Stegostoma tigrinum: one gene and its partner. The protein of the gene in region 1 purifies or fractionates together with the protein of each later gene. This does not show direct contact. Links are inferred from orthologs where the notes say so. Each region holds a gene or a part of one and is shown on either strand. Other genes may lie near its edges.

Region 1 (15,963 bases):
CACCTGACAAAGTAACAGTGCTTCAAAAGCTTGTGATTTCAAATAAACCTGTTGGACTATAACCTCGTATTGTGTGACTTCTGACTTTGTCCACCCCGGTCCAACACTGTCACCTCCACATCATGGCCTCTGGTAAAAGATAAGGATAAATACAGAACAGAGATATCAGAATCAGGAAAAGAGTGGTAATATAGGATGGCAAGCAAAACAGGTGATTCTGAACACCACCAACATGTTGGGACCCCTCCAGTATATTACTCAACAGATCATAGACAGAAAGGCTCAGGTCATGGCATACAATAAGAAGACAGCAATTTGTTCTACACATGCTAGCAGGCTTCTGTCTATGGCTGGCCCACATATGTTGCAATTAGACACCCACAGAGTACAAGACTGGGTGCCGGATGAACAACTGAAGACATGGGTGGGGGAGAAGACACTCCTGTGCCATGTCAGAAGCCTCACTCTCACCAACCAAGTCTGAGATACCAACTATATTGCCACAATAGCCTCAGGATACCAAAAGGAATGAACATGGCGCACCCTGACTTTAGCGTTAATTCCTCTGACTTGACCATTTGGTCATCAAGTCCTCTTTAAGACAGAATCCGGTGAGGAACTGCTTGTGTCTCTATCTGTCCATCCAAATGATACAGATGAGGACCTATGGTGGTTCATAGCTACTGAACTTCCATCTATTCCACAATTCATTGCAGACTGGGTGAAGATCATTCTTGAGGTAAAGGAAGATATCCATAAACAGACTATGCACATGAAGGAGATCAACAGTCATACAGAAGAGGCAGATAGGGTTTTACAGGCTCCAAGTATTTTGGCGTAATATTTGGAATTGGGGGCAAACACTCAGGCTCGTCGGCGGATCAGGATTATATCTCAAGTGATTGTTATAATTCAATTTGTTATACATGTTATTGTAATAATCTTATGGTGCTTGTTAACATGGAAAGTTAAGAAATGGAAGAGACTAATAACAGGGATTGGTATCAGATGCCAAAACATAGCTTGTATGACTGCTTATTAAGGTAAGAATTACAGAGATACACTAGTTTATAGCATTCCTTTCAACTCACTCATCATGATTTGTATTGATATTAAGCTTCTTTTGTAAGATGTGGAATGCGTATAACAATGTAGTTACTGTGGAACAAAAGGAAAATAAGTAAGGTATTGTAAAATGATTGGTAACGTTTATTACAAGTGCAACTATTTAAATTGTATCACCAAATAACACAAAAGAGGTAATGTTTTGCTGAGATTAAATCACTCTAAGGAGGCAATATTCACCATTGTCTAGAGGTGATCTGGAGGATTAGCAAACCCAGATGATTCTCAGATAAATCTTTGGATCAAAAGTGGGGGAGATGTTGGATAAGGCCGAAGATATGGGAATTGATATAAGATTTTACAGTGGACTAGAACAGGTTAACTGCAAGCTGGACAGAAGACTTTGTAGAAAGTGGTTTTCTAGGGTAAATAGGTTACCATGCCCAAAATTCAAGCTGCAGTTAGGAAGAATGAACAGAACGGCATTCCAGCTGCTGTGAAGACCAATATGGTTGAGACCATAAAAGTCAAAATGATTTGCAGAAATCAAAGGAATTCAACCATTGCTAAATACTTACAGTAAAATCATTTAAGATTGGACAAGTTTCACAAGCAATTCCAAATAAGAAAATTGGAATGACAACTTGGCAGGTCTGAACTATATAAATAGTAGCCCAGGAAACCCCTTAGTTTGAGCAGGATTCTAGAGGTGTGGTGAAGGCATTGAGAAGACTTCCAGTCTAGCTGGCTGCTAAGTCTCCTGGGAAATAATATTTGGGGTTAATTCAAGAACCCAGGGTAGTGAAAGACAGTGACTGAGATACTCTAGTAGTTAAAAGCATGTATTATTCAATTAAGTCCTGAATAAATTAGTTGAGTTTTATAGACCTTTAAGTGTGTTTGCTGTGTTTTCAAAAGCAATAAAGTGATCATCTGGGTTCAAAGTAAATTGTCCAAATGTCATGTTGTTCTTTCACATTTAAACTAGAAAAATGTCCATTCTGTCCATGCACATACAGGCATATGATTCAGCATGACAAGATCCCTTATGGCAGGCTGATACAAAAGGTGAAGTCCACGTGAGTTGGTAAAAAGGATACAGAACTTGTTTAGTCATAGAATACAGATTAGTGGGGAAGGGTGCTTTTCTGACTGGAGAGCTGTGACCAGTGGTATTTCACAGGGATCAGTGCTGGGATCCCTGTTGTTTGTGATATATATATAAATACTTTGGAGCTGAATGTGTTTGTGAATGACACAATGATTGGGGGAGCTGTGGGTAGTGAAGACGATTGCCAGAGGATACAACATGATATCGAAAAGCTGGAGACTTGGGCAGAGAAGTGGTAGTTGGAGTGTCATCTGAACAGATGCAAGGCAATGCAATTTGAAAGATCTAATGAAGGAGGAAATATACAGTACATGTTAGAATCCACAGGGGCATCAACATTTAGATGGATCTAGATTTAGACAGGATGGTCCACCATTTCCTGGAAGTGGCAACACATGTAGATAAGCTAGACAAGAAGGCATATAGCATGCTTGCCTTCATTGGTCAGGGCATAGAGTATAAAAATTGTTGTTGTGTGGTATCAAATTTTATTTAGGCCGCATTTAGAATATTCTGTTGCCATATTACCAGAATGATGTGAAGGCTTTGGAGAGGGTACAGAAATAATGCACCTGGATGTTGCCTTAGGACAGTATTAGCTATGAGGAGAGATTGGATAACTTGGTTTGTTTTTGCTTGAACATTGAAGGATGAGGGATGACCTGATAGAAATTTACCAAATTATGAGAGGTATGGATATAATGGTTAGTCTGAGTATTTTTTGCCAGGGTAAAAATATCCGTCCAACCTATCTTCTCGTTTATACTGACATTTTCCTAACTACCATTAGTTCTAAGGTTGGGTCACTTGACCCGAAACGTTAACTCTGACTTGTCTTCACAAATGCTGCCAGACCTGCTGGACTTTTCCAGCAATTTCTCTTTTGTTTCTGATTTACAACTTCCATTGCTCTTTCAGTTTTTATTTAGAATTGTCAATTACTACGGAACATAAGCTTAAGGTAGAAGGGTGAAAGTTTAAAGATGAGGGGCAGGTTTCTTACACAGAGGGTGATAAGTGCACTGCCAGAGGGAGTGATAGAGGTAAATATAATAGCAATGTTTAAGAGATATCTCGGCCGATACACGAAGGAACAGGCAGTAGAGTAATAGGGATCACGTAGAGGCAAAAAGCGTTTCAGTTTATAAAGGCGTCACATGTCAGCACAGTTGCGATGGTCCGAAGGGCCTATTCCTGTGCTGTACTGTTCTTTGCTCTTTAAACACACAAGTGCCTATAAATAGCGGTTAGATACTGACTAGATAATTTGTACTAGTGAGAGACATGTCATCGCCAGAACGATCGGGGAAACTGCCCTTCTCTTTGAATTGAGGCACATAATCATCTACATCCACTTTGATATGATCTCTCTGTTAAATTACAACAATATCAATAGTTCAGGATTCCTTAGGTCAAGTGTCAGGCAAAGTAAATTATATACTCAAGACTCCTGGAGTGAAATTTTAATCCTCAAAATCCTACCTCAGAGGCAAACGTTACTCGTCAATACAGATATCTGTTATCCACGATATCATGCCAAAGTTCCACACTGCACTGAAATTAGCGTCTGATTTTGAACACTATATGTACGTCTTTACTTTGTTTTTCAAATCCACTCGTCACTGCTTCACAACAAAATGGAACTGCCAGTAACTCCACCAACAGGCACTGTTAGAAACTAGCAAAACTGATCCCAAATGTTCCTGACATGCCAATGTCAAATAGCCCCAAGGTTCCATTCTAAAATATGATTCAATTTATCTGTTCGGCTCTGAGTCCATCTTAGTTTCCACCATTATCAGAATAAGGCTGTACTTTGAACAGCTCTTTGCCTCATATGATCCAATCTATGTTTGACACTATATAGTATGATGCTTCTATACTTCTACTTAATATCTGTCTCAGGAAGCAACGGAATTCGTAGGAATCCAACCGAGCGTCCAATAATCGAATAACTGTTTTGGAACACTAAATCCCTGCTTCTGGAAATTAAGTAACTGAGTGCTAATAAATGCAATTGTATTTTTAAAATTATTTTAATTCAACATCCTGCAAGAATTTCCTTTTGTTGTCGGTCATATTTCGTTTTTTGTGCCACCAATTACATTTTTCATGCTTTCCATTGAAATTATTTGCACTCAACCCAGTCACGAATCCTTTGCCACTTGTCAAAAGATCCCTGGTTAAATGACAAATATTCTAGTTGCTCTAACTTCCAAAATGAATATCCGGAATCAGATGTGTTTGATTTGTAAAGACTTAAAAGGTCAAAATTCATAGAATCAAAACTAAACCATCACCAATAAAAGGAGGGACAGAAAACTGGGAATTGTCGATAGAGGGCACGTGTGGTGGGTGCTCGTGTTTACGATTGGTACATTTATGCAAGATTTATTTTGGGGTTAATCTTGCAGCGTTATACTTTTTCCCAAGTTACAGAACTGTTAGGCTTTGCCTCTTGACGACCCTGGGTACCGTCTTCTGGCATCTTTATTACGTTACAGATGGTACATCATTGCGAGTGATTGCAATGCTTGTGGCACCGATAAAACATGAAACACTTAGCAAACCCTCCAACAGGAGTTACCTGATTCAACTGAGGTATATTAATTCAAAGCGCAGTGATAAAACCTAAACATTTGGAGATACCGTACTATGATCAATCCTCGTCGTTATCCTACTTCCTTCGGGAGAAGAAACGTAATTCATGCCATTTACCGGACAGCGGCGTTATTTCCTATACAAAACATTGTAAATATATCGCTAACAATAAATAATGTACAAAATTAATATTCTTCATCAGAGATAATTCTGATTTTATCGATTCAACCATTACATATTTCAGAATTCTACCACATTCATTTCAGAAAACAAGTTTCTCCACACGACTATTTTGGTAGATCTCCGTCCCTAGCAAGATGTACACTTTGTCCAGCCCTGGCTTCTCGGATTATCTTATTTACTTGGTACACATAACGGAAAGATATAAAGTTTCAAGCATTTTTCAGATGCTTCTAAAATACCACATTACGCCCACTCACTCCACAACCCAACTTGATGGCTTTTATTCTCTCAGATGCATGCGGGAATCAAATCGTCTCGTGCAATCCTGCGATTGGTCGCATGTTTTCAGGTACCGCCCTATTTAGAACATTGCAAAGCTGGAGTCTCATTGTGTTTGGTTTCTAATGCTGTCAATCACATGCCTTTTGTTTCCCCGCCTAGCCCCTAGGTCTCCAGGCTGCGTTGCAGTGTGCGGCTTGTAGCTGGAGCCTCGCCTCCTCGCAGTTCTCATATACACTCATCAAGGTCCGGAAGCGACAGGACATTGAAGAATATATAGTAACCAGTGTGAGCTACTACTACCACCACCGCCACCCCAAAACAATTCCTGATCATAACCGTCCTAACTCTTTGTTTTCAATGAGGGGAAGGAAGAAGACGTCTTAAGTTTTGTTTTTAAATTGTAAACATTCCCATTTCAACAATTACAAAGATAAAAAATAATTTGGTGAATAAAAGGAAAACGCGAGACAGGGAGAAAGATGGCAGCGAACAGTACAACATTCGCCAGCAAAACGAAAACCAAGAAGAAACATTTTGTGGCTCAGAAAGTAAAGCTGTTTCGAGCTAGTGATCCATTGCTTAGCGTCCTTATGTGGGGAGTCAATCACTCGGTAAGTCTGTTTTAAAAAACGTCATGAAATGCGGTAACTGCTGTGTGTAACTTCTGCAGGAAATCACATTAGCTGGATATTCCTCGGACAGGTTACTTGATCTTTGCGCCTGGATATTCCCTCCATTTCATTTCACCTAAGCTAATAGACATGGGATTTGATGAGATTTAAAAATCTATGCCGTGCATGTGCATTATGATGTTACGGAGAAGATGTGATAAATAGGAATGACCCTGCAGCATTTCGTTTAAGGTGAGTCTATGAAATGACAAGTCCTTTTAAGAGCGTTGCATTTGACAGATAAAAGCCACAGTTAGCTTTAAGTAAACGTGCTTCATATTATGTGTCTATGATGGGAGTGAGCCGAGGTATTTGGCCGAGGGCCTGCACCCTGTTCATGTGACTCCTAGCGGTTTTTTTAAGACCAAAGGCGACGGCCTGGAAACCCCTTAATGTCAACTTGCTGTCGAGTTGTGAGGTAATTACGACTGACAGCTCTGTTGACCAATTGACACCAAGATCCTGAGTCCAATGTGATTCCTGAAAGGAAAGCCCAAAGTGAAGGGGGCGGGGCGGAAACCTGCGCTTTTAAAAAATTGTGCAGCAGTTTGGCAAATGACAACTGCGTTGATTCTTGTTTCCTGTAAGAGCTAACACATAGTACCCTTCCCCCCCCCCGCCCCCCCAAAAATGCATCATTCATATTTTTTGATCAGCTAAGCAAATGCACTGGCTGTTGTACCTTTTGCGTACGTATTATTGTTATGGTTTAGGCTGGTGTTCTGACCTCCAGTTTTGCATGTCAGCACTTGATATTGTAGGCAGTCAGGGTGACATGCTATTTCATCGATCCTCAATGTTCTGCTGTCAGAACTTGTGGATGTACAACATCACCTCTATGCTTATTTTCAAAGCAGAGTTTTACGGAAACGAAGTACTGAAGGCCAAGGTTTTGAAAATGTGGCAGTCCAGAGCAGGCTGTTAATTCGTGTGTCAACACACAATCTATGTCTGCACCATTATAACTAATTTATCATAACCAAATCATTCAAAAGATGAAAGGTGCTTCCTCCATCTAGAGGAAGAAAAGTGGTAACTAGTTTAGGTAGATTTCTCTTTTAAGAGTGGCTTGAATGTCAGTTGCTTATGTCAATACATAAATGCATCTTAACTGCTGTGTGACTGAGTAACTCTTAGTATGTGTATATATAATCAATAAAGTGTTCCAATCTTTACTTTGGAGATTGAAACAGTAACTGAAACTAACATGGTCTTGGTTCAGGCCCTGGATGAACATATGCATTCTATGGTCCATCTCACTGGCTCATTCTCACTGCACGTTGCAGGATTGGGGGAAAGATCTACATTAAGTGCTACAAATTATCACTTGTTAATGGTTCCCATAAAGTTAAATTGTTAAACCTGTTTAATTTTGAAATTTGAACCCGAGGTGAGTTTTGTGATAGAGAAATATGGCTGTTTTGACTAGTAACAATAGGATATTAATTTCAATGTGCTATGGTTTGTTTCAGTACACCATGGTTATTGGACTGTGATTCCCTTCCTTTTGGAACTGTCATTTTTTCACTTTTACACATTAAAAAAATTGAGTTCTCCATCTTAACTATGAAATTAATTGTAACAGTTTTAGGAATTTGTTGTTAGGCTTTCATGTATTGCTTTAGTATCATCAGTTGGTAATGGTAGTACCTGTGCAACTGTGAGATCTTGCTTTCTTTTGGGACAAAGGGACGGGATGGCCTAATGTATGAGTTCTGAAGGAGAATTTTCAAAATAAAACTGCTTTTCATCTTCTGTACATTTTTTTTGGATGTAACTATGTGCCAAACATTTTGTGAATTAGTCTTTTTTTACAATACTTCAATTTAGGGTATATTCAGCAAATTCAGTCATGCAGTGGTTTTCAGTAATCTGAGTGAAACACTGATTAATTCTGTAATGCAAGCTTCTTGGCCTTACAGTGTTAGAAATGAATTGTGGACTTTGCTAGGAATCCTTCTTTCAAACTTTATGAACGCATATGGGACTTTCATTGGACAAATGGGAGAAGGCTTAAGACATAAAGATTGGCAATTGCAGGACCCTGTGATTCTGCATTGCAAGGAATAGGCATCAAAAGCAATTGATATTTTAAAAAGAACTGGAGATTCTCTAGTGACAGACAAGGATGACTTCTAAAATTGAGTGGTAGGTTTGGTTTGGTTTGCTATGCTGAAGTAACTGGGGGCCTTCTCTTTGGACTAGATATCCATACTTTTGTAGTCTCTGCTTTGGTCTTTACTGCAGAGGGCTATTGAGGCTGGGGTTGTTAAGTATGTTCAAGGCTGAGATAGACAGAGTTTTAGGGAAAGACAGAGACGTTGACCTTCATTTATTTTCATCATAGTACTGAAGTAATGGTGCAGAGGAACAGGATTGGAGTAAAATATCTCTTATGTAGTTAACATGATGCTGGGAAATTGGGGCAAATGACCTTCTACATGTGCTGATATTTCTACGTAGTTTTGCTACTCAGAAGCTCAGGCTTATGGTGACAACTTTTTAGATACTATTTATAAATGTGTCAATGTTGCAAAAATGTTTGCAAAAAGGCAGTCTTAATGCAAAATTGGATAGAATTGTTATGGTGTTATTATGTCTGGCCTTTTTTTATGTATTTTAAAACTGTTCATATTTAACTGCAACCTCTTTCACTTAAGATTCTCATACTTTTCATTTGTTCTGAATAGAAATTCATGTTTTAAAATGGTATCTAATTTTGTTTTACATACTGAAAACAAATGATATAAATAAACAAGAATGCAGAATTGGAGATTCATGCATAACAAGTAACAATTGACTTAACTGGTAAATCAACCATATGTAGACCAGTTGGCAGGAATTTTGATTTTTTTTTAACTAAATTGCTGCTTGTCATTTTATTTGAGTATCTAATATTATTATGAAACAAAAATGCAATGGCTATAAGAATGCTTGCACATAGTGCTGTAAGGTGCTAATGAATAGATTTGGCCTAGGTGGCACTTGTGTTATTGAATTATAGAGCAGCACTGGAAAAGATTTGGGAATAGATTACATTGCCTGTCTTTTGATCAGGAGTTAACACATGGCTTGAGAAAAAATATTTAAATATTTTAACATATTTTTAATAAACATGAACAATCCCTCTTCTGTACCTACACTGGCCCCAAACCCCGCCTCTTCCTCTATTACACTGATGACTGTATCGGCACCGCCTCATGCTCCCACGAGGAGCTGGAATAGTTCATCCACTTCACCAACACCTTCCACCCCAACCTCAAGTTCACCTGGACCATCTCTAACACCTCCCTCACCTTCCTGGAGCTCTCTGTCTCCATCTCGGGCAACCACCTAGAAATCGATATCCATTTCAAGCCCACCAACTCCCACAGCTACCTAGAATACACCTCCTCCCACCCATCTTCCTGCAAAAATACCATTCCCTATTCTCAATTCCTTCGCCTCCGCTGCATCTGCTCGCAGGATGAGGCATTCCACTCCCGTACATCTCGGATGTCCTCGTTTTTCAAAGACCACAACATTCCCCCCACAGTGGTCGAGAACGCCCTTGACCGTGTCTCCCACATTTCCCGCAACTCATCCCTCACACCCCGTCCCCGCAATTACCGCCTAAAGAGAATCCCCCTACTCCTCACTTATCACCCCACCAACCTCCTGATCCGCTGCATCACCGTCCGACACTTCCGCCATCTACAATCCAACTCCACCACCCAAGACATTTTTCCATCCCCACCCTTGTCTGCTCTCCAGAGGGACCATTCTCTCTGTGCCTCCCTTGTCCTCTCCACACTCCCCTCCAACCCAACCACACCCGGCACTTTTCCCTGCAACCGCAGGAAGTGCTACACGTCCTCCCTCACCCCCATCCCAGACTCCAAGAAGACTTTCCACATCAAGCCGATGTTCACCTACACATCTGCCAGTGTGGCATGCTGCATCCGTTGTACCCATTGTGGCCTCCTCTACATTGGAGAAAACAAGCAGAGGCTTGGGGACCGCTTGCACTTCCCAGTCACGAACCATTTCAACTCCCCTCCCATTCCTTAGACAACATGTCCATCCTCGGCCTCCTGCAGTGCCACAATGATGCCACCCGAAGATTGCAGGAACAGCAACTCATAGTCCGCTTGGGAACCCTGCAGCCTAATGGTATCAATGTGGACTTCACAAGCTTCAAATTCCCCCTTCCCCCACTGCATCCCAAAACCAGCCCAGCTCGTCTCTGCTTCCCCAACCTGTTCTTCCTCTCACCTATCCCCTCCTCCCACCTATCCCCTCCTCCCACCTCAAGCCACACCCCAACTTCTTTCCTACTAACCTCATCCCACCCCCTTGACCTGTCTGTCCTCCCCGGACTGACCTATCCCCTCCCTACCTCCCCACCTACACTCCCCTTTAATGGCTCCATCCCCGCCTCTTTAACCTGTCTGTCTCCTCTCCACCTATCTTCTCCTCTAGCCATCTTCGATCGGCCTCCCCCCTCTCCCTATTTATTTCAGAACTCTCTCCCCCTCCCCCTTTTCGGATGAAGTGTCTAGGCCCAAAATGTCAGCTTTTGTGCTCCTCTGATGCTGCTTGGCCTGCTGTGTTCATCCAGCTCATCACTTTGTTATCTCGGATTCTCTAGCGTCTGCAGTTCCCATTATCTTTGAATTTTTCCAACCTCTTTAAAGAGGTCTTCAGAGTTTGCTTTATATGGTCTTAAGTCTTAAACATTGGATAGAAGGAATTAATGTTTCAGGATGTGAGTTTATCAATTTAATGTTTCACTCACCATATCAATTTAATTGGGCAAAATTAGTGCATCCAATAGAAAAGATTGGATATTTTAATTATAAATAAATTACCTGTTTTAAATGATCCCTTACACTTAAGACTGACTTCATCCAGATCAAGACCTGTTCACAAATTGAGCCCAGTCCCAGGTCAAAATTACAAGATTCTGCCAGTGACGTTGGTTGAAGAGTGAAGGTCCTTCAAATTTCACTCATTTTTGTGCTGATTCTAGGAAGCACGTTTTTACAAGTCTTCTGTAGGAGTAACGTTTAATGTACTACGCCTTTATCGATTATTGCATTGCATATTGAAGTTGGGATGTCATGTTGCAGCTGTACAGGTTATTCATGAGGCCACTTTTGGAATAGTGTTCAGTTGTGGTCTCCTTGCTATTAGGAAAGATGTTGTTAAACTTGAAAGGGTGCAGAAAAGACTTACAAGGATGTTACTGGGGTTGGAGGGTTTGAGCCACAAAAAGTGGCTGAATAGGCTAGGGCAATTTTCCCTTGAGCATCAGAGGTTGAGGGGTGATATTATAGAGATTTATAAAATCTGGAGTGGCTGATGGCCAAAACGAAGCAAGCTGGAGGCCTGGAATGGTGCGCGGTGACCAAGAACTGGAGCAGAGCGGGTTGGAGGCATTGAGTGCCAAAGACTGGCTGAGAGCCGGAGCAGAGCAGGCTGGAGGCATGGTGTGGTGTGGGGATGTTTGTTGGACTATCATCAGTGCAGGTGGTCAGCAGCTTGTGAGCCTGGTCAGACCATGTATGGAAGAGCCCATGCTAATCTTCTGAATATAATGTTTATCTGTAATCGGTTTATCTGATTGTAATATTTATGCTTTTAACTGTGTCTTATTTCTAACTTATACTATGAATCACTGGAAGTTAATGCAACTTATTTCTTCTTTTTTTCCTCTTTTTGTATTTAAGATTTGTGCCTAGGTACTTTGTATGTAGGATCGTGCCATGAGAAGCATCATTATAAACTTTCGCTGTACTCCTGTACTTGAGTACATATGACAATAAAACCTAATTCTTAATTCTAAACTCATGAGGGGCATGGATAGGGTGAATCCTAGGGTAGGGGAGTCCAAAACTGGAGAGCATGGGTTTAAGGAAAGAGGGATCTGGTGCTGGTGGGGTTGGGGGGCGGGGGGGAACAGGTGTGTGTGCATGTATGGAATAAGCTGCTCAAGCTACTAGGTTGTGGCTGGTACAATTACAGCATTTAAAAGGCATCTAGATGGGCACATGAATAGGAATGGTTTAGAGGGATATTGATCAAATGCTGGCAAATGGGGCTAGATGATTTTAGGATATCTGTTCAAGTTGGACTGAAGGGTCTGTCTCTGTGCTGTACAAATTTATGACTGTCATTGCCTTGTATATACCAATAAACATACTAAATGGTTTAGTGTATGTTGTTTAAAGTAATATTCAGTATTTTTAATGGTTTAGCAGAGCTCTGGACACATACATATTTTTGATCAACATATTTTCACCTGAAAAAATTCCCAAGGTCACTGGCTTTGAGTTCATCAAGAAATATATTTTAACAGAAGGGGAGACAAAGATGATTATCATCACACTCCATGATTGTACTGAGTCATTGACACAGATTTAAGATGTTCAATGTAAATTAATTTTAGCAGAGTCTTGAACTGTAGCCTGTCCTGCACAATGCTGAACATAATTGGATGTATTTTCTCAAGTGTGACCATGTGTTGACTTTACATACACAGATGTATTTGTAAAATAAGCAAGTACAGATTTTCAGGAGAAATCTACATTGATTTGTGAGTAAAGAACTTGAACTTGAATGAAAAGTTTCCTGTATCATATTTTGAAATGCTCATTTTCAAAAATTGTTTTCAGTGAAACTGAAAATATTTTGAGATCTAAGGCATTCATTGCTTCTCTTTTTTAATAAGCAAGCCCTTTTTGAAAATATATTCACAATACTGTAAGTAGGATAATAGCTAGTTTGAAGTGTATAATCGTACAAAAAGTGCTTAGAGATCTGATTCCAGATTCTGTTGCAGCTGTTGAATGTGGTACCAAAATAAGGAGTGCTTCTCTACACAAACTAAATGCCATACTTATACATGTAGTTGTACTTTCACAAAAAGTGATGTTTTGCTAAAATTTGGAAAAGCTGGAAAAAAAGCAGCAAATCTGGAAAAACCCGCAGAAGTCCAGACTGCCTGGTTCACATCCAAACTGTTTGGTTCCAAGGAGAGATCTTAAAACTAAAACGTTTACTGGCAAAACTCAGCAGTTCTGGTAGCATCTGTAGGAAGAAAGCAGAGTTAACATTCTAACACTGGTGACTCTTCATTAGAACCATCACCTGCAGTTCATTGTTTTATCTGCAAACTGAAAACAACAATTGAATGTCTTCTCTTTCTCCACAGGTGCTGCTGGATTCCCATAGTAGTTTGAATCTTTTATGTTCTTTTCAGACTTGCAGCGTCTGTGGTATTTGGCTTTTTCTTTACCGTGTTTTGGTTTTTGGGTTTTCTCCCCTGCAGCTATTGTGAGGTAAATACTCACAGTGGGACAGTACCATGTGATGTTGAAAAGATGAGCTGGATTTAGTTAGCTGCCATTTAAAAAATGTCTTGCAACAAGATATTTTACCTGAGACACTTTGCCAAGATCAAGGATAATAAGTGTCATCTGGAATTACAACAAGCGATCAGAAAGCTAGAGCAAGCAATATTTTCACTATGTGCTTTAACAATGAGCATTAATAGATGTCTTTATCAGTGTTTAAGGTAGCAAATTTTGAAACTAGATTGAAGCACAGTTTGTTTGCAATTTGATTTACACTGAGATTGGGCAATTCAACTATAGCCTTGAGTTGTGCACAGGTGAGGAATGAAGTAAGTGGAGAGGAGAAATTTTATCCAGCTGCTGGTTTAATTAGTGCTGTGATATTCTCAAGGGAAGCAATTTATTAAAAATTCACATTCAGTGCTTGCCAAATGGCTGTGGTAGATACACAGTTAAGGAGCTATTTGTTGTCTGCTAATCACAAAAAAACTACTGAAATTCAGTTTTTAATCTGATATTGCAAATTTTTTTGTAATGTTTTGACAATTTAATCTGGTGGGCCTACAGCTTGTTGTTACAGGAACCAGCAAAATCTAATTGAGACACCAAGATTTTTAAAATCATTATTTGTTGTGATATTAGATTTAGCAAGATGAAAGTTCAGAACTAAAAATTTAATACAATAATCTCTTGTTGCAAATGCATTGTGTTTGTGTAAATAAATTTATAAAAACATGGCACACTTAGCAATGAAATGTCATTCATTTAACCTGGCACCTTTATACAAGGCCTTGCTATAATAAATAAATGATTCAAATTTAACATAAAAAGTATAGCTAAGAAAGATATGATTGGTGAGGTTCTGTGGACTGTTTATGGTAGGGTGGAGAAACAGAAGACAGTCAATTGACACTTTCCATTGGATGACCTTTTCTTCAAACTGAACACTCTGGACATCTGCTCCACTGCAAGTTCTGCCAAAATTGTTGATTTTCTTTCTTAATTTTCATCTTTAAGAGAATAAATAATAGGAGCTTGTCAAAAGGTAAGGTGCTCATCAAGGGAGATTTTAATATACATAGATTGGAAAAGTAAGACCAAGGTAGCCTAGATGAGTTCATGGAATGTTTTCAGAACAGTTTCTTAGAACAGCACATTCTGGAACCATCCAGAGAGTGTACTATACCAAGCCTGGTATTGCTCAATGAGTGAGGATTAACTAAAGATTTTATTGTGATGGTGCCCCAGGTAACAACAATCATCGTATGATTGAATTTTACATATAGTTTGAGGGAGAAAGGAGTTGGTCCAAGACTATTATTTTAAACTTAAATACGGGAATGAAAGTAGAACTGGCTAAAGTGAATTGGCAAATCGAGTTAAAGAACTGGATGGTAAATGTGTAGCGGCAAGCTTTTAAGGGATTATTTCTGAATATGTTACTCTACATATATACAGACAGTTCTTTGAGTGAGGAAAAATTCCAAATGACAGACCCAGTGTCCTAGGTTAACTAGAAAGTCTAAAGATAGTAGTAAACTTAAAGAAAAAGGGAGGTCAGAAGATTAGATAAAATATATAAAAAGGCTGTTAATGTTTGTAATAAGGAAAAGAAAGTGCAAGGGAAAAGTGGCTTTAAAGATAAAATTTATTCGTAAGAGTTTCTGTAAATTGTTCACTTTTCATTTTGTAACTATGAGAGTTTCGGTTTTATAACAGGTAAGGCCAGAGAATTGATAATAGAAAATAAAAGAATGGCAGAAAAATCTATATTTGCTATAGAGGGTACAAATAACATCTCAGAAACAGCTATAAATTGATAATGATGGGGGGGATCTCAGGAAAATTACAATCGTCACAGAAGTTGTTCTAAGTAAATATTTGGACCGGTGGGTTGATAAGGGTATACAGTAATATTTCATCCTAAAATCTTTAAAAATGTGGCTAGTGAAATAACTAATGCATTGATTTTAATTTTCCATAGCTCCCTAGATTCAGGGAAAGTCCAACTAGATTTGAAGATAGAAGATGTAACTCCTTTCTTCAAAATGAATGGAGATAGGAAGTTGGAAAGTAGACATCGGGTAACTAACATCTGTCATAGGGAAAATATTAGAAGCTATTGTTACTGAAGTTTTAGGAGGGCCTTTGGATAAGTTAAAGGTAATCAAACAGTCACTTTTTTGTGAAAGAAAAAATTATGTTTAACCAATTTATTGGGAGTTCTTTGAGGAAGTTACAGATAAAGGAGTACTAAATGAATGCACTGTACTCTAAGGGGAATAACTTCTCCTTCTGAAAACTATCTGCATAAGCAAAGTTCCTGTTTCCTGGAATCAATCTCATAATCTTTCCTGCATACTCTCTAAAGAACACTTCATTCACTTCCTAAAGTGCAATGTCCAGAGGTATAGAACACTCCAGTCAAACTCAAAGCATTTTAAAATAAAGATTCATTGTGACTTCCTTGCTCTAAATCTTAATTTGTAAAGCCTAGCATCTCCATTTCCTTTCCATATAGTTTCTAAATCTGCCCTGTAAGTCTTAATGATTTCTGCACATACAAACAACAGGTCACTCAATATTGTGCCCACTTTAGAATTGTATCCATTATGTCATATTACCTTTCTTCATATTTCAAACAAAGTATGGCACTACTAATCTGCCATGTGTTCACCCATTCCACCACCCTATCCATATCCACTTGAAATCC
Region 2 (15,963 bases), on another chromosome or scaffold:
TTTTTTACTTGTATTGAAGGTGGTGGCAGGAATGCTGTTTGGCTGGATGGGGCAATTGATTGCAGTAGGTCACGTATTGAAATGTCCAAGAATATATTCAACAAGAATGTATTCTTGGACATTTCAATACAAAACAAGAATGTATTCTGGTTTATTACCTCTTTGAGACAGCATCAGGAAGGATCAGAATATTTATACAATAATTCACTAGGACTGCAGTGAATCGTACCAAAGAAATATTTAAACAAAGCTTCAAATTCTTGAACAGTCAGTTAAGCCCTACTAAGCTCTTAAGTACCACAATAACCAAAGAAAATAAAATATGTAAGTTGATAGAACAGAGTAAACACTCTATTATTCATAGTGCTTGTTTTATTGTCTTACATAGTGCCTGAGGAATGGAAGAATTCTGACCATCTAATATTTAGATAAACAACAATAATTTTGTAACCAAAATTATAAAGTGCACATGCAAATTTAACTACCTACTTTTCTTTATTAATATTGTTTCTTTGTATGGTCTTGCAAAAACTTCAACTTGTCACATTTCCCCAATGAAATGTAAGATTTATGATCAAAAGTAGGCCATTTCATCCACCACACTGGTTCCACCATTTAATAAGATTGTGTTTGATCTGATTGCAGATTTCCCTCCATGTTCCCACCTGCAGTCCATTAAACCCTGGCTTCTTTTTCAATCAAAAATATGTTGAAGTTATTCTTAAACATTAAAAAAAAGACAAAGGATAGCTCACTGGGGAGCCACTAACTGACATGGATTCTCTCTTCTGTTTGGGGTTTAGAATGAAACCTATGAAATTCTCTTTTGGATGGCCCTTGTTTGTCATTCCTCAATGGGCCGTTCCTTGACTGACTGTTCTTTGGCCAGTTGCTCCATCACTGGCTTTTCTATACTAGTTATTTCTTGCCTTTCACTAGTTTAATTTCCTCTGCCAGTTAAAGAAAACTGAGTATAATCATTCATTCATATTTAAGAATGAGAATTCTAGATTTTGAAGTATGTGTACGTTTTCTCCTATTTTAGAATCATAGAATCCCTACAGTGTAGAAACAGGCTATTCGGCCCACTGAGTCTGCACCGATCATCTGAACAGCATCTTGCACAGGCCAAGCACCCTACCTTATTCCTGTAAGTCCATATCTACCATGGCTACTCCACTTAACCTGCACATCCCTGGACACTACGGACAATCTATTATGGCCAATCCACCTACACTGCACATCTTTGGACTGTGGGAGGAAACGAGAGCACCAAGTGGATACAGGCCGAACTCCACACAGAGAGTCACCCGAGTCTGGAATCAAACCTGGGTCCCCAGTGCTGTGAGTCAGCTGTACTAACTGTTGAGCCATGATGCGTTCCACATTATAGAACATAGAACATAGAACAGTACAGCACAGAACAGGCCCTTCAGCCCACAATGTTGTGCCGACCATTGATCCTCATGTATGCACCCTCAAATTTCTGTGACCATATACATGTCCAGCAGTCTCTTAAATGACCCCAATGACCTTGCTTCCACAACTGCTGCTGGCAACGCATTCCATGCTCTCACAACTCTCTGCGTAAAGAACCTGCCTCTGACATCCCCTCTATACTTTCCACCAACCAGCTTAAAACTATGACCCCTCGTGCTAGCCATTTCTGCCCTGGGAAATAGTCTCTGGCTATCAACTCTATCTATGCCTCTCATTATCTTGTATACCCCAATTAGGTCCCCTCTCCTCCTCCTTTTCTCCAATGAAAAGAGACCAAGCTCAGTCAACCTCTCTTCATAAGATAAGCCCTCCAGTCCAGGCAGCATCCTGGTAAACCTCCTCTGAACCCTCTCCAAAGCATCCACATCTTTCCTATAATAGGGCGCCCAGAACTGGACGCAGTATTCCAAGTAATTATGTATCCCTTATGTTAGACAGTTGCTAATTGTAAACTGATCATTTTAGATGCTGTATCTCCAGACCATATCCTGGACTTTTGTCAGTTATTGATATTGTTGTTCAATCATGGTTCACTATCTGATAATATAGTGGCATTTTCCCCAACGTCTGCCTTGAAATTAATGAGATGACTATTTACATAAACATTTTCTTGCTGTAAAGCTAGGTCTGGATTACTTATTCCCATAGTATTTCCCTACTATTACCTATAGCAGATGAATGTGTGACTGGAGACTTGGTGCAGGAAAGAGGGTTTTAGAATAGTTAGGCATTGGGATCATTTCTGGGGAGGTGTTGCCTGTATAAGTTGAACAGGTTACATCTGAATGAGAATGGGAATGGGACCAAAGCATTCTGTAGTCTTTATTTGTTGAAATAATCTGTTTCTATTGTTCCTGCCAAAGTTGACAGCTTAACATTGCACTCTTCTGATATTTGTCAGTTGCAGAATTTCCAGTTTGCAGGCACCAGCCATCTCCCCCATACCAAGGATGCACAATCTCTTTACACATCCATCCCCATCAGGATGGTCTTAGGGCTTTCTTACTTTTACCTGGAAAGAAGGCCTGGTCTGTCCCCATCTACCACCACCCTCCACTGCCTGGCTTACTTTGAACAACTTCTCCTTTAACTCCTCTCGCTTACTTAAGCTCAAAGGAATGGTCATGGATACCTGCTTGGTCTTCTGTTATGCCTGTCTCTTTGTGTGGTATGTGGAACATTCCTTGCTCCAGTCCTACCCCTTAACTCTTTCTCCATACTTCAATGATGTTATCAGAACTTCTTTCCTCTCTCAATTGGAATTGGAAAGGTTTACCTATTTCACTTTAACTTTTCACCCTGCTCTCACCTTCACCGACTCCCATAATTAACTGGACTATATATCCTCTCAGAGATAATAGGAACTGCAATGCTGGAGATCCCGAGATAACAAGGTGTAGAGCCGGATGAACACAGCAGGCCAAGCAGCATCTTAGGAGCAGGAAAGCTGACTTTTCGGGCCTAGTGAAGGGTCCTTCACTAGGCCCGAAACGACAGCTTTCCTGCTCCTAAGATGCTCCTTGGCCTGCTGTATTCATCCACCTCTATATATCCCCTCACCCTGCTTCCTGTAAGGACACTGTTCCTTTTTCCCAGTTTCTCCATCTCTGTCACATCTGTTCCGATGATGCCAGCTTCCATCAGGGAGAAACATGTCCACCTTTTTCCTCTACCACTATCTTAGTTGACACGGCCCTACCAACGGGATGCCACCACCAGACACATATTCCCCTCCCCTACCTTGTCAACATTTGGCAGGGACCATTCTCCCAGGACACCTTAATCCACTAATTCTCCATTCCTGACACCTTCCTACATCCTCATGGCACTGTCCCATGCAACTGCAACAGGTGCAATGCTTTCCTGCTTACTTCCTCCCTTCTCACTAACCAACTCTCCAGAGATACCTTCTAGATGAGACAGTGATTCATCAGCTATTCACTCAAACTAGTCCACTGTATTTGCTGCTCACAATGTTGTTTCCACTACACTGGGGAGGCGAAATGTATACTGGGTGATGGCTTTGTGGAACGTCTATAAAAATGACTTCAAGCTTCCTGTCACCTGCCATTTCAACGCATGACTATGTTCCTTGGCTGACATTTCTGTCTAGAGCTAGCTGCACTGCTTCAGCGAGACTCAGCACAAGCTGGAAAAACAACTTTTCATCTTCTGCTTGGGATCCCTGCAGCCTTCAGGACTCAATTTTGAGTTCAACAATTCTAGAGCCTGAACGCCCTCTCCTATGTCCTTACCCACCTTTGTGTACTAAGCCCTGTCATGACAGGGGCTGGTTTCAGCACAGACAGCCTATTTTCAACTATGCATTGCCTCCATTATCAGCTTTTCTTCTTCCCTGGCTTACTACCTACGATCCCTTTGTCCATCCAATTTTTTTTCTCTTTCTCTGTTGGATCCATCTCTACTTATCTGCTCACTTTTTCCAACGCCCATGCCCTGTAATTAGCAGAAAAATCACCTTTCCCTAACAACTTTCAGTTCTGATTAAGGGTCACCAAATGTCAACCCTGTTTTCTCTCCAGAGATGCTGCTGGCATGCTGAGTTTCCCCACATTTTTGCCTCACATTTACTGCATTATACCTACCATCATTTGTCCACTTAGACATTATCCTAGTCTCCTGTCTAATAATACGTAATTTAATCAAGCATCATGAAAACAGATTACTACAGCAAAATCATGCAGCTACTGAAAATCCGAAACAAGTACTGAAAAGCTGTTAAAAACTCAAGTTACGTCTTTTGAGAGAGACTGAGTTAACTTTTCAGAGTTAAAACTGAGTTAGCCTTTCATCACGGGGGCCATTGATGTCTCAGACATTGTTAGGTGCAAACTGGCTTCTATGGTCCCACATTATAGCAGTTACTGCACTTCATTGGTTGTAAAGCACTTTGATATGTGCTGAAAAAGCCTGTGTATAAACATGATAACAAGGTGTAGAGCAGGAAAGCTGACGTTTCGGGCCTGGACCCTTCTTTCAGAATTTAAGAAGGGTCCAGGCCCGAAACGTCAGCTTTCCTGCTCCTCTGATGCTGCTTGGCCTGCTGTGTTCATCCAGCTCTGCACTTTGTTATCTCAGATTCTCCAGCATCAACAGTTCCTACTACCCTCCATGTATAAGCAGATGTTTTGTTTTCCTTCAACATTTTCATTGTTAAATGTTTTCGAGGATTTAATAAAAACAATGCTCCGTTAACTGAGAATACCCTGGTTCTAAGTTACATTTTATCAACACGTCCTTTAATGACTCTGAGCCCTACGTTGCTTCGGAAGTATTTCTTGCTGCTTCAGGAGAACTACAGCTCCCGTCATGCCGGACGGCGCAAACGCATGCGCACTATCCTCAAATTTCCATTATGACCGGATTTTTTGTCGGTTTTTCATAAAGTTCGTTAAATTTCATCACGCACAATGGCAAGACAATTAAATGATGAACTAACCCAGGTATATATCAAAAAAAGCTTCGAGGAAGGTTGTCACTGAAATGTTTAACTTCCAACTGTCGCGGGTAAAGACTACAATTCCCAGAAGGCCGCGGAGTATCGCGGGGGGTGGGGGGCGCGTCTGGCGTCGGCGACAAACAACAACGTCAACGTCACGGACGAGGGTTGAAGAGAAGGTTCAGGAGCAGAGAGAGAGAGAGAAGGTAGAAAGGAGAGGCGGAGGAACGAGAAGGAGGAGGTCGAGGGAGAGGGAAAACTGCGAGGCAAGGGGGGTGGGAAAAAGAACTGGCTGAATTAAACAAGCGATCATTAAAGTGAGCCCCAGGGACCGGCGGAGACTCACCTCAGAGCCTGAAGAGGACAAAGTGGCGTCACCCGAGTGAAGAGAGGGGGGGAACGAATCTCCTCAGACCCACAAACACACGCACAGTTTGTCCCCCCCTTCCCTCGTCTTGTTTTCGTTGCCGTCCGAGTATACACCTCGATATCTATCATTCTTTTTGTGTGCTACCCCCTTTTTTCTCCCCCCCCATACCCCCCCCGGGCCGGGGGTTCCGTCTGTCCGTTTGCACCTGAAAAGAATTTTGTTATTTTTCTGTGTGTACGCGGCGGAGGGGTTTGGGGGGGGGGGAGCAGGGGGAAGAGTGGGGTGGAGGAGGAGGAGGTGGTGGTGGTGGTGGTTCGGAGGAAGACAGGCCCGAGAAGAGGAATTAAAGCCGCCACCTCCTCAGCAGCACCAACATGTCCTCCCCGAGTCCTGGGAAGAGGCGAATGGACACCGATGTGGTCAAACTGTATCCTTCAGAGCAGCGAGTCTCCCAGTCGGAGGGGCTTCAGCAGTTAACGCTTTTTCCTCCCTATGTTCCACATCTTCCCCCCCCCCACTCTTTGTCTCGCCTGTTATTTGTATCAAGTACGCCGTTTGTTTGCGTTGAAGGATGATATTTTTAAAAAAGTACACATTTTATATAATGTCACAAGCTTAGCCCATTAGTCGGTATTTTTTTATCCGTAAAGCATGCCCCTAAGTGTGTACACGGGCGATGGTTATGATTGGGGTTTTTTTAGGGGTTGTTAGGTCTTTGAGATATACAGTGGTTTCCATCAAAGAAAAATGACAACATTCACATGGTGACGGATGTCAAAGCTTCCTTTTTTTGGTTGAAGTTTTGTTCCTCTATCTGTTGAATATATTTTCAGGGAAAACGTTATGTTGGTTTTTTTGTATGTTACGAAATTTTGAATTTGTAGTGCTTTTATTCTAAATTTATGGCGAGTTTATAGTTCTTTACTTGATACTTATGAGGCCTTGTCTTTGTGAAAAAAACAAGCTAGCCTTTTTTTTGTGCCGTATGTCCTACGTTTGAAAGCCAGATTTCACGTTTCAGCAGATGATTTATGATTAATAGGCAGCGTCACATCGCATCAAACCTTGTTTCTGTGTTTTCAACTACAAAGGAGGTTGCGATTTGTCTGACGTGTATTTCCAGGGTACTTTTGGGCCTGTTGATCTGTCTAGGTTTATGGCGGTGGTGGGGAAGAGAAAGGAAGGAGAGATAGACGGGAGGGAATGGTGGTTGCGAAGAGGAAAAATAACTGAAGGAATTTGAATGCGGATGTTGACTGTCTTGTAAATTGAGTGACGTTTTTAATGCATCCTTACAGTTTTTGCCATATTAGCTGATAGAAGTATTACTTTTGTCTTGAATTTTTACGGTGTTGTTGAGAGGTCTTGTTTTTATTTTTGGACTGGTGAATATTTTGCTTTTTTTAAGGTTTCCTCGGGCTCGTAAAGGCATTTTTTGGTTGCTTAAAATTTATTATGGTGGAATTGAAATTTTTATATAAATGGCTGTGTCACATACGTTAATATTTAATATCTCCCCACCCCCCCCCAACCCCATTTTGGGTTGTGTTTTTTGAAGGTGCTACCTGCTGGAACTCGTTGGACAGCAACTGTTGGTCCTAATGCTAGTTGCAAAGAGCGGATTGGCTGTACTGTTACTAGCCGGAATTGAGTTGGAGGAGGAGCTTACTTAAAACACAAACACGTTCACCAGCTGACACTACAAAAGAGAGGCTACTTAGACGTCGGCGCTTTAGTTGGGTGGGGGCAAACACAGTAAACGGCCGATTACTAATCAACAGCAGTTCAGCTTCCCGTCGCTTCTAACTGTACCAGAAATTTGTCAGAACTTTATTCAGAACAAGGGAATGATGTAATCATTTGAATTAGCTTTCTTTAAGAAAAAGTTATTGCAGACTATTTGTATTTTAGAAGGTCATTAACTGGAGATTTTGTTTATCATCTTTTACACTTTTTGAACTGTTGTGTTCCTAGTGTTCACTTTTCTGATTAAAGTATTTTCATACAAGAAAGCACAGTAATCTTGTATCCTAGTTATTTATAATTTAAGGATTAGTTGGCCCCATTTATTATGTCAGTGGAAACATTTTTCGTGTATTTTGCCATGATCCCATTATGTACATTGGTAGTTTGATTTAAGATTTTTTTGCTGTTGTAGCCCAGGTGATAGAGAATACTGGTAGATATCTGGAAATAAAATCTATCAGTAGCTGCTGGGGAGTGCTAGAGATTTTTCCCCCTTATGTTTATGTCTTAGTAGCAAAAAAGGCCTATCCTGTTACTTCAGCTTGCTTCAGAAATGGTTACAACCATGTTTATAAGGTGGCTAAGTCTGCCATTTCACTCTTTCCAGCACTGATGGCAAGTTTGGTCAGAGGTGACTGCATACCGCAGAGATTTCCATTACCTTATTTGCTAAAATCACAACTAAGGTCTTATGCCAAAATTGAGTTAAATATGTGATTCTTTCATTTATTCCTTAATGGGGCAAAGGCATCACTCGTAAGTCCAGTATTTATTGGCCATCTGTGAAATCAGTGGATTGTCAGGCATGTTAGCTGGGCGTCTGGGGTCCCGTGTATGCCACAGTGAGAGAGGATGGCAGACTTGCTTAGGTAAAGGATGTTAGTGAAGCAAATGAGTTTTTATGATAATTGATAGTTTTACGGTCGCCATTGTTAACATTAGTTCCTGACACTAGATTTTACTAATTGAAGTGTGTTAATTGAATTGCTAATGTATACTATAGGACCTGATTGCAAAAGGCTGGACATACGGGAACAATTTTCCACATGGTTGTCAATCCCGTTTTGCAGATGAACTCCAGAACTAGCTGCACCCGGTATAAGTCTGCTGTACTATAGCCAGGATGTTGTCAGGGCCCAGAGTCTTTGCTGTAATCTGTACCTTTATGCCCTTCCTTGATATTACCTTTAATGCACTAGTTCATAATTGATTTCACTATGATCATCCTTGTGCCTCAGTCATGATGTCTGATTATTGGTGTCTATACTTGTTTCCAGTCAGTGGAAGGAATCTGAATGGGATAATATTAACCTTTTTTGAAGGCACATCCATCTGATTAAAATGCTGTCAAGATATTTTTCAAGTAGGGTGCCAAGCAAGTGCTGACTGAGAAATTTGATGACTGCAAAATTATTATATGGATTATGATAGCTAGGTCTATCATCGATGGCATAAAGGGAGAACAAAAACAGGAGAAGGTATTGAATGTAGACTGGAGTTTTGTTTTCATCACTGTTTGAACATGTTATACCAATCCTCCAGGAATGTCTCAATTTGAAGCGAGACTTGAATCTGGACTCTTTGGCCCAAACATACAGAAGCTATCATTGTGCTGCACAATCCTTTGATTTGATGACCAGAGGACCCAAACAATTAAAAGAAGTGGTGAATTTCCATAAGTGCAGTTGTATCGTGTGGATCAAAGAGCAGTTTAAGCTCACTTGAATTCACTCTTGCAATGTCACCTGGCCAGGAACTGCCTCAATCATTTTGCTGCATTTGTACTACTCCCATAAGGATCAGGTGCCAAGCTTCGTGACTGGATAGGCAGTGGGTTCACAACAAGTTTAATGTATAAAATTTGTCCAAGCTGATGGTCTAAAAAGGATCAAATGCACATTTTATCTAGCTGTGGAATGCTTTGTATGCTTTATGGGAGGAGAACGGAACTGGTTGTGGCAAAGAATAATCGGTACTTTTGTTATCATACAGTGCTGTTTGCTAAAGGTGACTCTGAGAAAGTTACTCTGCTACCTAACTGAGGTAGCAAAACAACCAAACTTTGGGACTATTGGGCTTTTAACATGGAATAGCAGACTGTGTGATATGTATGAATTGTTGTTTCTGCTGGTGTGCACAGAGGTTAAAAGCAAATTGAATTCCATTGTGATTCATGAATTTAAGCTCCCTCAGTATTGGTACAACACCTTTTATGTACACTGGCTTTTACAGAACTTCAAGTTGTAGGCTGGTGCATACCCTTATAAGGATTTCCATAAAATGTGATGGGTGAGAGAGATTTTCTTAGTGTACCTTATTGACTTCTTAGGGAGAAAACTGAGCACCATAATAAATTGCTTCTCCAAACTTTTATAACTTGTGACTAAAGCTTTTGGAGTATTTAATAATAGAGTGAAATTCTTGTCTTGTGTGGTACTAATGAGAATAGACAGTGCAAAGTGTATAGAAAATTTATTGGCACAAAGTTGAAAATGTGGTTTAAGTATGTTTGTTCGTCCATAATGTGCGGGTAGCATGTGTTTAATCTTGTATTTATTATGAAATGTTTGAGGGACATGAACAATAATATTTGATAATTCAGTTAATTTTGAAGTAAATCAGTGGTTTTACTTCTATGGATATTGATAAAATTTGGATTCCTCTCCCCCACCCCCCTCAGCTAATGCTGATTATAACCTCTTTCACTTGGGGTCAAGTCTTATGTTCAGTTCACTCTTTGGTACTTTGCCACTCAAGTATTTATCATTTGTAAATCCAGGTATTGAATTTTAGGTTATAGTTGAGTCCAGTCTGCTGTTCGTAAAGCATCTGTATGTGGTGTAAGGATCTCTGAATTGTAATCAGGATAAAAGCGGTGGGCTTTACCCCCTTACCTTAAGGCTTTTAATGTTAAACACAGCTAGGAGTCAAATTGAAGCTTTTTGAATTCTACACATCAGAGCTAGAATGCAAGAAACAGATTTGAACAAAAGGACACAATTTCATAAGCGTGGAGAGGATGGCTAACTGAATCATCATTGGCATGGGTCGTGTGTTTGTGCTTGTTTGACTATCCTGGTTTGTTTACCTGCATGCCATTCAAACAAGCTATTGACACTTGCACTATGCCACTGTCATGGTAATCTAAATATGTCATTTAGTGTCTGAATCTGAGTTTATCAAATTCAATAAATAACAACAAAAACCGATGAGTTCGGTTTAAATTACGTCGTATATGCTCCTGTAGATGTGTTGCTGTGGAATCATCTGTAGGCCCAGCCCCTGCTAACGTTTTTGATGTTACCATGAGAGACCTCTTCAATGGGCATGAAATAAACATCCTTTTCTCAGTGTATTAATTGTGATGTGTGACAATGAGTACTTGACTACTATATATCAAAGTCTTGGTTCACTGATCAGTAAATGTTTGGATTTGCAGAGTTTCATGTGCAAGGTCATTCATATGACCAGGCTCCTAACTTTGGCTCACCATGTATGTTTGCTGGGGTAGGCTATATGTGACCTACCCTATGATTGTGGATACCCCAATCAAATCATTACTTCAATATTGAACAGCCCAAAGGTTGGGCTGTGTCTACCACCTTTGGTCCCAAGTGATACCCCTTGTTCTCAAAGGGGAAGATGTCTCAAAAATTTGAACAACAGGTGAAGCTCATGGTCTTGCACTGCTCCTGCAGTAAATCCACAATAGCTTTTCTTCGCTGCCTTCAAGCCCAAAAAGTTTAGCCAACTATGCAGATGAGTAGTGTGCATTTCTGAGCTGGCATGTTGCTGGGTATGTAAGCTGTACATTGCAACGACTGGAAAACCACATTAAACAGCATGTCTGTTGACTATTTGCAGTGGGTAGCACAACTGCTCTTAACCAGCCTATGCTCGCAAGTCTCAAAATTTATGCATGTCATCATAAGTAATATTTGCAATGGACTGTGCTAATAGTTAACCTGCTAATTAAGATAATGGTAAGGTTTGCTGTGTAATGTATTTACACGTGATAAAAGCCAGATACACACATTCACTGAACCCTATTTTTAATGGAGATCAAAGGAATTTGTATCCCCAGGACCAGTCAGAATCTACTTGCCTGTCTGAGAATGAAGATTGACGGGTAATTCTTGCAGCAACTCTTGGTGAGTGATGGCCCAACCAAATAACACCCTTTTCTCATGTTGTATGAAATGCTGTACCTCCATTGAAGTCTGTTTCTTGTCATTCTGAGTGCAAGATGAAAAGCTTTGACATGTCGCCTTTTAGCAGTGTTTAGCTTTATACTACTAAGCTTTAAGTTCCTATTTGTTACATGATCACTGGTCGACCAGTGGTGAACCTGAGTTAGTTTTGGCCAGTATACCTCATCATCTTGTCTTAACTAGCTGAATCATTGAAAAACATTTAAAAAGTTGAAAATAAAGATTTTTCAAGGACGTGCACCATTGTTGATTCAATGCTCCATCATGAGGTTTGTTTGCCTTTAAAGAATCTTAATGTCTATGTCATTGGTAAACATGCTAGGTGAGAATAATTGAGTGAATTGAACTGCTTTTGTATAGTGTTCATCTGGTGATTTGTCTTTCTATGAATTATAGGTTGTTGTGCCTCACTGCTAGAGTAGCACACTGGAAATGAAGTCCTGTTTTTTCTGGAGTTCTTACAAAAGTTAAAGCTTTTAAAAGTGCGCAGAATTCCCCAATTTATCTAACTCATCAACCCAGGTTGACGGCTCAAAACTTTTCTGTACCTAACAAGAATTGCTACTTATTACAAAAATAGATTCGCCCTCTCAATGCATATAGTCAGAAACAAAAATACAGCTGCTGTTGGCAGAAGGAAATTCAATGGTCCCTTTTCATTTTTTTTAAACTTGACATAGCATGCTATTCCTTGATTCACTCCCAGATGCTTTCACTTGGAGTTGGGACAGGGTGGCTGGTACATGCTTAGTTTCCCAGGCTATTGGTTAAGAGCCACAGCTTACAGCAATGCCTGAGGGAGCAATAAACTGGCTTTATGCTTAAAGTGGATATTACTGCAGAGAAAAGAGCCAGCTTTTGCCCTTGAGGAAATCCAGTGGCTTCTCCTAAACATTCACATGCTGAAGTTTTTTGGCTGCTTGAGAGCCAAATAACAGTTTTTAGTAGGCAGAGAAAAGATAATGTAAATAACTGGAGAAACTTCATCAGCCCTAGCAGCATCTGAAGAGAAAGCAGAGCAAGTGTTTTGGATCCACTGACCCTCCTTTTGAAGGTTTTTATCATTATTCCGTGGATTAGTGACCAGTTATCAGTCAGTGACAAATTGCGAGCCAGTGCTCCAGTCGTACATATCTCTTGGGTTCAGCTCATCTGCAAATCATCCCCACATCTTCAACCCTCAGCAATATAAGCAAGACTCATAATGACTGTCAGGCTACTTCTAAAATATGCAGCAATCCTTCAGTAATCCTTGGCTTTTTAAATCAGTTGTTTTTCCCATTTCAAACTACAATCGAAAAACAAAAACAAAAGATAGGATCTTTACAAGTTACCAGTTTAGTGTATATCTTAATTCCATAGTGTAGCAGTTCAAACATTGTGTTGATTGAAGCTTTGGTATCAACTAATTTGTTTGAACAGCAATGTGCTGATGAGAAGCTGTGATCTTGGCATAGTTTTTTATATATTGGATTTGAATGAAGGATAGTAAAGCATGGGGAAGCGAAGAACAAGTAAATTCTCTGCCTGGTGAGAAAAATGAGCTGTTTTCAAGTTTTAACACAAGTGCAAGGTTGAAGTAAATGTGTGACAACGACACTGGTCAGACTTTGACAGAAAGCAGCAGTGATTCAGCCTATCAAAGGCAGCTGATGTTGGGCATACAGTCAGAGTTTGGAGACAGTACAAGCCATTCAAGTTTTGTTCTTGCATTAGCCTTGTCTCAGTGTTATATTAGCTCTGGGTCAAACCTTATTTTGTGGTAATAAGTATGTAATCTGTAACTTTTTAGTTTTATTGCAGTATTGAAGGGGTGTGTTGCCTTTTGAAAGAAACTGAAGGCCGCTCTGTTTTTTCAGATGTAAAATATCCCATGATGGTATTCAAATAGCAGTTAAGTTTTCCAGGTTTCTGGACTAGCTGAATAGTTGCGGGCCTAATACTAACCCCTGCGGTACTCTGCTTACTACTGATTTCCAGTCAGAGAAAGGTGTAAAGTTGGACAGGCTGAGTAGGAAGGCTGACGTTTCGGGCCTAGACTCTTCTTCAGAAAAAAGACCCTTCTTTTTTCTGAAGAAGGGTCTAAGCCCGAAACGCCAGCCTTCCTGCTCTTCTGATGCTGCTTGGCCTGTGTTCATCCAGCTCTACATCTTGGTATCTCAGATTCTCCAGCATCTGCAGTTCTTACTATCTCCAGTCAGAGAAACATGCATTTTTCCCAATTCTCTGCCTTCTGTTGGTTAACCAGGCCTCTATCCATGCTAAAACATTCCCTGCAGCTCTTAACTTATGGATGAGTCTTTTATGTAGTACCTCATCGAATGTCTTTAGACAATCCAAGTACACAACGTCCACCTGTTCCCCCTATCCACTGCGATTGTTATATTCTCAAAGAAGTCCAGTAGGTTTGTCAAACACTACCTTCCCTTACTGATCATTGCTGTGCCTGCCTGTTGAACCCTTTCCATCCAGATGTCTTGCTGTTTCTTCCTTCAATGATTGCTTCAAGCATTTTGCTGACTACAGATGTTAAGCCAACCGGCCTGCAGTTGCCTGCCTTTTTCCTACGTTATTTTTAAACAGCGGCGTGACAGTCAATGTCTTCCACTCTGCAGGGACCTGCCCAGAATCCAGTGAAATTTGGTACATTACCACTGACGCATCACTACAACTTCTGCCATTTCTTTGCGACCCCTGAGATGCATTCCATCAGGACCAGGGGACTTATCTACCTTTAGACCCTTTTTATTTTGCTCACCACTACACCTTAGTGATAATAAATTGAATTGATGTCTTCACTTGCCATTGTATCCTTAACAGCGTTCTTTGGCATTTTAGACATGTCTTTGTGTGAAAACTGACACAAAGGCTGACACAGCCGTTTCAGCATTACCCAGTGTTAATTTCCCTATCTCATCCGTCAAGGGACCTACATCCACTTGAGTCACCCTTTTCCATTTTACGTATTGATAAAATCATTTCGTAGCTGTTTTTATTATCTGTACTAGTTTGTATCCATAATCTATCTTTCCTTTCTTTATTGCTTCCCTCACTGTTCTTTGCTCTTTAAAGTTTTCCCAATCTTCTTGTTTCCCACAACTCTTGGTGACTTTGTAAGCCTGAGCTTTTGGACATCTTCCTTTATTTCCGTAGTTACCCAAGGCTGGCTCTTACTATATGATAAGGTGTAGAGCTGGATGAACGTAGCAGGCCGACGTCAGCCTTCCTGCTTCTTTGATGCTGCTTGGCCTGCTGTGTTCATCCAGCTCTACACCTTGTTATCTCGGATTCTCCAGCATTGGCAGTTCCTGTTATCGCTGGCTCTTCCTACTCCTGCTATCTTTAGTTTTTGACTGGAATGTACTTTTTTGAGCACTAAAAATCTCTTTAAAAGTTTGGCACTGTTCCTCAACTGTTCCACCATACAACTTGTGTTCCCAGTCTAGCTTAGCTAACTCCAAACTCATCCCACTGTCTCCCTTGTTTAAGCATAAAACCATGGTTTTGTATGAAACTATTTCACCCTCCATTTGTATCTGAAATTTGATCATACTCTGATGACTCTTTGAGAGGATCCCTAGCTAAGAGATCATTAATTTTACCTGTCTCATTACCCAGGACCAGATCTAAGATTGCATGTACCCTTGTAGGATTGGTTGCAAGCTGTTCAAGAACGTTATCACACGAGTGCTATGAGCACCCTCCCTTCAAGACTACCTCTACTGACTTGATTCGCCCAATCAATGTGCGAGTTAAAGTGCTGTGGATCTGGAGTTGCGTGGTGGCTAATTCTGGTAAAGATGGCAGATTTCCTTCATTGGGTCTTTACAACGATTGACTGTGGTTATAAAGTTGCCATTGGCTACCGTTTTATTCTGGATTTTTAATTGAATTCAGATTTTCACTATCTGCCATTATAGGATTTAAACCCATAACTCAGGACCATTAACCTAGGGTTCTAGATTACTTGTCCATAACCTTCTAGGAGAGGTGATGCTGTACTGGTAATTCAAGTGAATTACTGAAGGAGCTGGCTTTGGGAGCAGTGAGTTTTATCGAGACATAAGTAATGTGTGAATTCTAGTTGAGGTGAAAATTGATCAGCTCGAGAATAGATGTGCAATGCAAATACAGTTAAATTCTCTTCCTTTCTTGTATACTTGTTCACCAGTCACAGACTTACAGTCACAGACTTACTGTCGCATCCCTTTCTGGCCTTGCCTCATCCTTTGCCCTCTAGCCATCTCTCACTTTGCAATCTTGGGAGATCTTTGCATATTTTCAATTCTCATTTCAGCACATCTCCTGATCTTAATTTCTTCATTGCTGGCTGTGCTTTGAGCTTCCTAGATCTGAAGCTTTGGAATTTCTACTTTAAAATTCTCTGCCACTCTGGCATTCTTTCTTTCAGATGCTTCTTACAGATTTGTCTCTGACCTTTAGACTAATAACTCCTTGTGTGATTTGGTATCAAATTTAGCCTTACTGTGAAGTGCCTTGGAATGTTTTAGTGAGTTAAAACTCGATTTTATTGCCGGTTTCTACTGGACGGGAGGGTGGAGAAAGAGGCTAACGAAAATCTTGTTCTTGCCACAGGTTTGCATCAATTATTGTATGTGGTGTGTGACTATTATGCATTGTAAGTGGTATATGTTCAGTAACAGGGCATACAAAGA

The links.
Region 2: the proteins of pip4k2aa (region 1) and ube2h purify together in Homo sapiens (affinity purification with mass spectrometry; 3 studies listed by BioGRID and IntAct, with this or other methods). This does not show direct contact. The link is inferred for Stegostoma tigrinum from reciprocal best matches to the Homo sapiens genes PIP4K2A and UBE2H.

The regions. Positions count from the first base shown.
Region 1 is NC_081355.1:119,244,607-119,260,569, reverse strand, and holds the start of pip4k2aa (phosphatidylinositol 5-phosphate 4-kinase type-2 alpha), read left to right. Parts: upstream 1-5,425; 5' UTR 5,426-5,721; coding exon 5,722-5,853; intron 5,854-15,963. UniProt on the Homo sapiens protein: Catalyzes the phosphorylation of phosphatidylinositol 5-phosphate (PtdIns5P) on the fourth hydroxyl of the myo-inositol ring, to form phosphatidylinositol 4,5-bisphosphate (PtdIns(4,5)P2). Has both ATP- and GTP-dependent kinase activities.
Region 2 is NC_081378.1:16,349,672-16,365,634, reverse strand, and holds the start of ube2h (ubiquitin-conjugating enzyme E2 H), read left to right. Parts: upstream 1-5,612; 5' UTR 5,613-5,704; coding exon 5,705-5,757; intron 5,758-15,963. UniProt on the Homo sapiens protein: Accepts ubiquitin from the E1 complex and catalyzes its covalent attachment to other proteins. E2 ubiquitin conjugating enzyme that transfers ubiquitin to MAEA, a core component of the CTLH E3 ubiquitin-protein ligase complex.